Linked DNA regions of Ovis aries. The protein of the gene in region 2 purifies or fractionates together with the protein of the main gene of each other region. This does not show direct contact. Links are inferred from orthologs where the notes say so. Each region holds a gene or a part of one and is shown on either strand. Other genes may lie near its edges.

Region 1 (3,811 bases), on a different chromosome or scaffold from region 2:
GGCTTACCCGATGCAGGTAGGTGTCTGAATCCTCAGGCATGTCGTAGTTAAAAGCAATGTTCACCCGCTCGATGTCCATGCCTCGGCCAAACAGGTTGGTAGCCACAAGAATCCGTCGTTGAAAATCTTTAAATTGCTGATACCGAGAAAGCCTTTATGAGAAAGGAAAGCAGAAAGTGTTGAGATTCTCTTCTCTCAATGGTCCCTTTTGCTCACAAGGACACAAAACATCTTGCCCATCTCTGACTCACCTCTCCTCCTGGGGCATCCCACGGTGGATAGCAATGGCTGGGAAGTTCTGCTCCACCAGGAGCTGGGCCAGGGCAATGCAACGCTGCACAGACTTCACAAATATCACCACCTGTGTGCGTGCGTGGTGTGTATGAGATTGGAGGGATGTGCGTCCATGTGGGTGTGTGTGAGAAAAATTACGAGCAGGAGTTCTCAGTAATTACACTCTTCTAAAAGAACTCCTTAGTCCCCATCACATAGTTCCTCTTCTGCTCTAAATACTAAGTCTTTCCCGCTTGGCTCTGACTTTTCCTGAGCAGACAAACATGCTGCAGAGGATATGGAAAACAGTAACCAAAACTACCAGATACATTAGGAGACAAGAATGAAGCCACCACATGAGAACGGTAAAAACCTGACGTAAGTCTGGAAAGACATGACCATTATTCCCACTCACCAAAACATCAAACATAGTAAGAGCTTATAGAAAATGATTTTTAGTGCAAACAAATCACACTAATGAAACACTTCTCCCTGGTGAGCAGTGCAAAACACAAATTTAAGAACCTGTCTAATTATTGTGGGACTCTCATTAACTTTAAGACTCAAGATTTTATAATTTGAGGTTTACTTTCTGTATCAGGCATGGAACAGAAAAGCAGTTCCCATTGCGCTCACGCTCAGCCCCTAAGTCTCTCATTTAAAAGACTTTTTCCACTATTCTCTTTCACATGGCATACGTGGCTTCCTCAATAAAAAGGTTTCTGCCAACAGTTGGAGATGTACTCATTCTCCCTACTGGACCCTGGACAACTAACCTGGTTGAATTCAAGGACATCCAGAAGGTCAAAGAGCTTCCGGTTCTTCTCGTTGTCCTTCAGTTTCACGTAGTACTGCTGCAATCCATGCAGCGTCAGCTTCGTCTCATCATCCACGAAGATCTCCATTGGCTGGGGGGGAGGGGGGAGGGAAGGGGTGGGGAACGGGAGGAGGGCAGAGTGGGGGGGTTAAACCTGGGGGGGTGGAGGAAGTTGATCTCCAATACACCCCATGGGGGGATGGGGAGAAGAGAGAAGATTGAAAACCCAGCCCCACCCCCAAAAATACCCACATTTTAATGTGGTCTTTTGGACATTAGATCTGATTTCCTTCCTATCAGTTGAGTTTTAAGATTTCCCAACTGAAAACTGTTATAGGAAAGGAACTCTGCAGGGAGGAAAGGGCAGAGTCCAACCACCAAATGGCAAGATGCCATTACCTCAAACGGAGGTGGTGGAGGAAAGAAAACAAAGGGAAGTGGTTCTCAAAGCGAGAACATGAAGCAAACACCTGGGAAATCATGGCAACAGTGACTCGAGGTCAGAATAACTCCATTAGAGCTGGTTTAATACAGGGCAGAGCTCCATTTGCATATTCTCTCAACTAGGAGAATCATATCTCCATAAGGTAGGTAGATGTCTTCCCATATCTCCATTAGGAAGGTGGAAGATCAGAATACTTCAATGGACTTAAGGTCAAAATGCCATGAAAAGAGGCAAAGATTGAGTAGCAACTTGCTCTCGGACCACAAGGAAACAGTTTGAGAGAGATTGGTCTCTGAACGAAAAATCAAACCATCTATAGTGTTACGAGGAAGGTACAATGAGTGGTGGTAAGAAGCAAATTCAGAGCAGCAGAGTTACTCAGTCATCTTTAAAAACAAAACAAACACACACAACCCTTGAAGGGAAGGTAGATAGCATTCACCAAAAAAAAAAAAAAAAGTGGTAATTGACACAAGAGTCAACTCTAAAGCCCAATTTCCCTTGTGTGCTGTGTTTAGTCACTCAGTCGTGTCCGACTCTTTGTGACACCATGGACTGAAGTCCACTAAGCTCCTCTGTCCATGAGGATTCTCCAGGCAAGAATACTGGAGTGGATAACTTTTCCCTTCTTCAGGGGATCTTCCCAACCCAGGTCTCCCGCATTGCAGGTGGATTCTTTACCATCTGAGCCACCAGGAAGCCATGGTTAACGTAAAACCCCAGGGTACAAGATTTGGGGAAAGGGTAAGTGTGTCATAAGTGAAAACCAGAAGCTGAACTTCAGAATGCAGACTAGCAAAGGAAGGATTTCCAAAGAGAAGTTCCATGGCTTCCTTCCAATCTAACTTGAACCCCAAATACAGCTAAAGGTAAGAGTTATGGTCCATGGGAAGGAGCACAGCAGGGAGGGAGGGAAAGAACACACTCCACTGCTTACACAAGGGCCCGCCTAGCCCAGACCCTACCACCACCTGGTTACACCCAAGTGGAGCGCTTCACTTTACTTTTTCCATATCCCTCTGAGTATTAAAAAAGTTAAAAAGAAGAAAAAATAAAAATCTACCACCCTACTCAGAACACCCCTCCCCACCAACACAAACGGAAAGAAACAGGGAGCACGGCACGCCTTGGGTTCAGGAAAAAAACCGGGAACAGAAAAAGAGGCTGGTTTGGTCCTCAGCTTCCTGGTCAGGTTCCCCGCGGCCTCCGCTGCCGCCATCCACCGCCGGGTGCGTCCGCATTCCCCCGCCGCGCCACGGTGCTTCTCTGCTGCTGGTTCACATCAACCGAGGTTCCGACGGGTGCGAGGAGGTACGGGTAGGAAGGAGCATGGACTCGGGGATTGAGGTGCCAAAGGCCCCCACCCCTGGAGGTGGGGAGGGAGCGGATTCGTGTGTGCTGTTTGCTCTTCTTTTGGACATGCCCTGCCATCTGTCTGTCCCTCTCTTGCTCTCCTGCCACCGGGAGGTTATGACTTTGGGGAGCAGAAGGCTCCGGCTGTATGCTTGACGCCACCTGGAGGGTGCGTGGCTGTAGGGGGTATGTAGAAGACGATGGGTGGGTGGTAGGGCAGAAAATCCTGCCCTCCCCCAAAAGGGAGAAGAGGTTCAAAAATGCTTTGATGAAAAAAAAAAGTCGAACACTACCCGCTCTCACGTTAACCCGACCAAGTCTTCCGGAGTTTCCCTGGCGCCGCGCAGACCCTAACACTAACTGTCTCTGCCTCTGTGTGTCTCTTCAAGGAGTCATCACTTTCAAATGGGCGCGTGCCCCCTTCTTGGCGCTTGAAGGACAAGGGAGTCTGGAGGAAGAGGGCGCGGAGGGGGAGAAGGCAGCGGGCGGGGAGTGGAGGGAGAGAAGGTAGAAGGGTATTTACGTCTTGCATGAACTTGCGGCAGACTGGACGAATCTCTTTGCTCAAGGTAGCACTGAACATCATGACCTGCTTCTCATGGGGGGTCATGCGAAAAATTTCCTGGACATCCCGACGCATGTCTACAGGAAGAAGAAAAAAAAATTATGGTAGAAAAGAGACATATTATCATAAATGAAGATCAGAGACAGGCTTATCAATGAGGTAAGGACTGCTGGAAATGGGTGAGCCGAGAGTTGCGGGTCAGGGTTAAGATTTGCCTCGGGTCTCTCTCTACTCTATTATCTCCAACCGCCATGTAATCACGTCCAGGGCTGCAATACAGTGGGAACAACAGTGCCTATGGACCAGGTTCCAGCCGTGTATTTTAACCACGAAAGAAATTAGATGAAATCCCAAAGCC
Region 2 (3,911 bases):
ATTCAAAAGCATCTAAGCGTATACTGTACTTTTATCCTTATAAATCACCTCATTCCAGAACACCTCCTTTGGGGATAAACGGTTTTGGTGAAGCTGGATAAGGGGAGCCCAATGCAAAGACTATCTGACTCCTCCAGTAAGTTTAAGAGTCTAACATCCACCAGACAACACCATGGTTCTGTGATAGACCAGTTGATCGTGTAAGGGAGGGTATCTGAATTAAAATTTGTATTAGAGGGTTCTTTAGGGGCTATTTATTGTCTCTCATCTCTTACTCAACTATCCTGTATGATGACAGGGAGGCCGGTGACTTAAATGCAGCGTCTCTGGACCAAAAGGAGCCCCCACCGTGCCCTGATATAGATAATACCTTAACGTTTCAGACAGTGAGCCTGTTGCTAGGCCTGGAATGAAGTGGACTTTGCAGTCTCTTGCAGTGAGGGAGAGGAGAAGGCAATGGTACCCCATTCCAGTATTCTAGCCTGGAAAATCCCATGGACGGAGGAGCCTGGTAGGCTGCAGTCCATAACGTCACTAAGAGTCGGACACGACTGAGCGACTTCACTTTCACTTTTCACTTTCATGCATTGGAGAAGGAAACGGCAACCCACTCCAGTGTTCTTGCCTGGAGAATCCCAGAGCCTGGTGGGCTGTTGTCTATGGGGTCGCACAGAGTCGGACACGACTGAAGCGACTTACCCGCAGCAGCAGCAGCAGCAGAGGGTAGAGTAAGCCATGGAACATAAGTCATGTTAAGAAAAATTGTTTATTATTGCTCGCCACTCATGGCAAGATACTTTCTGAAACAAACGAAACAAGACAAAAAGAACTCAGGAGGTTGAGTTAGCAAGGTGCCCCCAGAGCAGCAGACAGAAGTACAATCTCCACCTCCCAGACAATAGCTCCCAGGTTTCGCCTCGAGATTTCAAGGAGCAGTCGAACCAAGCGTCCACTTCCAGGATGAAGAGAGGGCATCGGTTTCTAAAGTATCAAAACCTAGAGCAGCGACGGTTCGCGACATCTAGACTGACCGCATTCGCTGCCTAAAGCCGTCCTCAGGAGACTTGCACCTGGCCCGCCAGCACGCGGAAGCATCATCGCTGGGCGCTGCACCAAAGGGCAGCCAATCAGTCACTGCCTTCGTCCAGATTCCTCCGCCGGAGGCCGCGCCGCAGCCGCAGGTGGCCCGGCGAGCGCGTCCACCCAGCGCCGCCAATCGCGACCCCCGCCGCCCTTCCCGTGATGCCCCGCGGCTGACCTGCGACCTCGCGGCTCGCCTTTCCCTGAGGCCGGTTTTTCTCCCCGCCCCCCTCCCCTCCCCTCCGGCGAGCTTGCAAGGGCTCTAGCGGCCGCGGGGCGTGCCGCCGGGCGCAGCTCCTCCCTGAGCGACTGCAGGCCTCCCGGCAGGCGCCTTCCCTTAGCCTCTCCTCCTCGCGGCGGGGCCCAGCGGGCGGGTAGCCGCGACCGCGTCCGGGAAGCACTACCCGTCGGTGAGTGGGCCGGGCGCGAACTCCGCGGGGCGGAGAAGCGGGCGGGCGCCAGCGGCGGCGCGGGGCGGGGCGGCGGGAGGAGCGGGAAGGGGGTGGGGCGTCGGGGCCTCGCTTCCTCCCTCAGCGCCATTTTGTGGCAGCGAGACCCGCAAATAAAGGGGAGCGCCGGGGTTGCGGCGCGGAGGAGGAGCGCGGGGGCCGGCGGCGGCGGCGCGGTCGGGCGGCCTGGGCGGCGAGAGGACAGCGCGGGGTCGGCCTATGTGACTGGGCGGGCGCCGGCGCGGCCTCCGTTTGGAGAGGTAGGTGCGGGCCGCCGCCGGCTGCAGCGGAGGCGAGGACCTCCGAGTCCCCAGGCGGCTGAGGTGCGGCCGCCCGGCCCCGGAAGGGGCCAACTGAGCGCAGGAGGCGGACTCGGGGTTCCCGGGCCCCCCGGCCTCCCGTTAGCCCCGCCGTCTGCCCGCTGGCAGGGACGACACTTCCGCCGTCTCGAGGCCATTTTACCTCGGTTCTCAGGGAGCCGGGGGCGAGGTGGGCGCTCCCGCGGGGCCGGCAACGCCGGGAGGCCGTCCCCTCGGAGCGCGCGTCCCGTCACCCCCTCGGCGTCGCGGGCTCCCCCACCTCCCTCGGCAGGATCGTGAGGACCGGCGGCACCGACGAGCCGAGGGGAGGAAAGCCGCGTCCGTGAAGCACATTTCACGTCGCGCAGTAGCTTCCTACTGCAGCTGCGTTGTCTTGTAGGCTTCCATTTTTAAATGAGTGCATGCCTTCTAACTAAAATAAATACTGACTGAATTCAAGGTTTTCGTGAAATTTTAAAATCTCGCCTTGGATCTCTCTAAACCGCATTTCTCTAGTCAGTGGGGAACACGTAGTGGAAAAATGTCCACGTTTGTTTTGATGAAGTCAGGTTGGATATTTGATCCCAAAGGACTAGGTTAAAATCCGTAATAACCGTGTTCATAAGGGAAGCAATGATTCTTTTGCCGAGATTAGAGAAAGGTAGAAAAATATTTCCATGAGCATGTTATGGTCCTGAGTTCATATAGTTTTCTACTTAAGAATTTGGTTCCATCACTAAGGAGGATAAGTGGAAGTCACAGGTCTGTCACCACAAGTTTCTTCAAAAAGAAAAGTATTGTGAAAATCTTTGCACGATGCCTGTTACACATTTACATATGTCATTTATTTATTTATTTTTTATATATGTCATTTAGTATCATCTGATTAGGCAAGTTGGGGAAAGAAAATGCGGCGTGTGATAAAGATGAGGTTAAATTTCAATGATTTGTTTCGCTGTATTCCTACAGTTCTTTCATATCTTACATTATCTTCAGTAGTTAGCTATAGCTAAGTGATCAGTATTTTCACTTCCCAGTAGCAGAACTTAGGCAAACTACCTAAATTTCTAAGTCCCAACTGACAAAAGTAATGATGATCAAGTGTATCCCAGGCACAGCTAGTTTTTTTACTTAACTCATCTAACTTATAGAACTTCACCGGTTTGAATTTTGAGTATTTGTCAGAAATGAGTTGGTATACAGAAAATTCATAGCCTTGTGGCATGGAGAGGAGAGTTGTAATAATTATATTTGTCCAGTCCGTTACAGCACTCAGAGTCCCTTACGTTCATCTAAGTATGTATATATGTAATACACAGTTCCCCTGGAAATATTGTTTATTTTAGAGTCTCGATCATTTTCATACAATAGAACATTATCTTGCTGTTGAAAAAGATTTTTCTTAAAAATTTTCTGTGGGATCCTTTAGCAAAACAAGACCTAAACAGTATTTGGTTTTATTTTTGTTTTTATTAATTATCTCCCATTATTCTGCCTCTAAAAGTCCTGTCTGACTCTTCTGCTACCCGGTGGGCTGTAACCCACCAGGCTTCTCTGTCCATGGAGTTTCCCAAGCAAGAATACTGGAGTGGCTTACCATTTCCTTCTCCAGGGAATCTTCCTGACCCAGGGCTTGAACCCGTGTCTCCAGCTTTGCAGGTAGATGAGCCACCTGGGGCTTAAATATATTCTAGTACTAAGCTTACTAGAACAAAACTTCTCAATATTCCTCTAACACTATATCCCATTACATATAAAGGTGGTGCATCAGGCTAGAACTCCATGCTATAAAGAAACGGTCCTAAGTCTTGAAAATGTAGTTGGTGGAATTTAATTTTTTCTAAGTGCTCTTATGCTAATATTAGTATTTTATTTGAAATATATTTGTTTGTAGAGCATCTTTATGGTACTTAAAGCACTGAGATTTGTAGCATTTGGTGAGGCAGGCAAAATTGGCATCCTCTTTGCTGATTTAGAGGCTGCAATCTAAAGAAAATGACTTGCTCAATATCACATGACTGATTATTACGAAGTTAAGAAAAGCTGGTCTTCCAATTCCTAGCTAGTACCCTTTCTGCTGTTG

Evidence for each region.
Region 1: the proteins of WTAP (region 2) and DDX39B purify together in Homo sapiens (affinity purification with mass spectrometry; 3 studies listed by BioGRID and IntAct, with this or other methods). This does not show direct contact. The link is inferred for Ovis aries from reciprocal best matches to the Homo sapiens genes WTAP and DDX39B.

The regions. Positions count from the first base shown.
Region 1 is NC_056073.1:26,836,230-26,840,040, reverse strand, and holds part of DDX39B (spliceosome RNA helicase DDX39B), read right to left. Parts: intron 3,531-3,811; coding exon 3,412-3,530; intron 1,182-3,411; coding exon 1,050-1,181; intron 362-1,049; coding exon 252-361; intron 153-251; coding exon 8-152; intron 1-7. UniProt on the Homo sapiens protein: Involved in nuclear export of spliced and unspliced mRNA. Component of the TREX complex which is thought to couple mRNA transcription, processing and nuclear export, and specifically associates with spliced mRNA and not with unspliced pre-mRNA.
Region 2 is NC_056061.1:83,743,866-83,747,776, forward strand, and holds the start of WTAP (pre-mRNA-splicing regulator WTAP), read left to right. Parts: upstream 1-1,146; 5' UTR 1,147-1,490; intron 1,491-1,615; exon of another isoform or gene 1,616-1,789; intron 1,790-3,911. UniProt on the Homo sapiens protein: Associated component of the WMM complex, a complex that mediates N6-methyladenosine (m6A) methylation of RNAs, a modification that plays a role in the efficiency of mRNA splicing and RNA processing.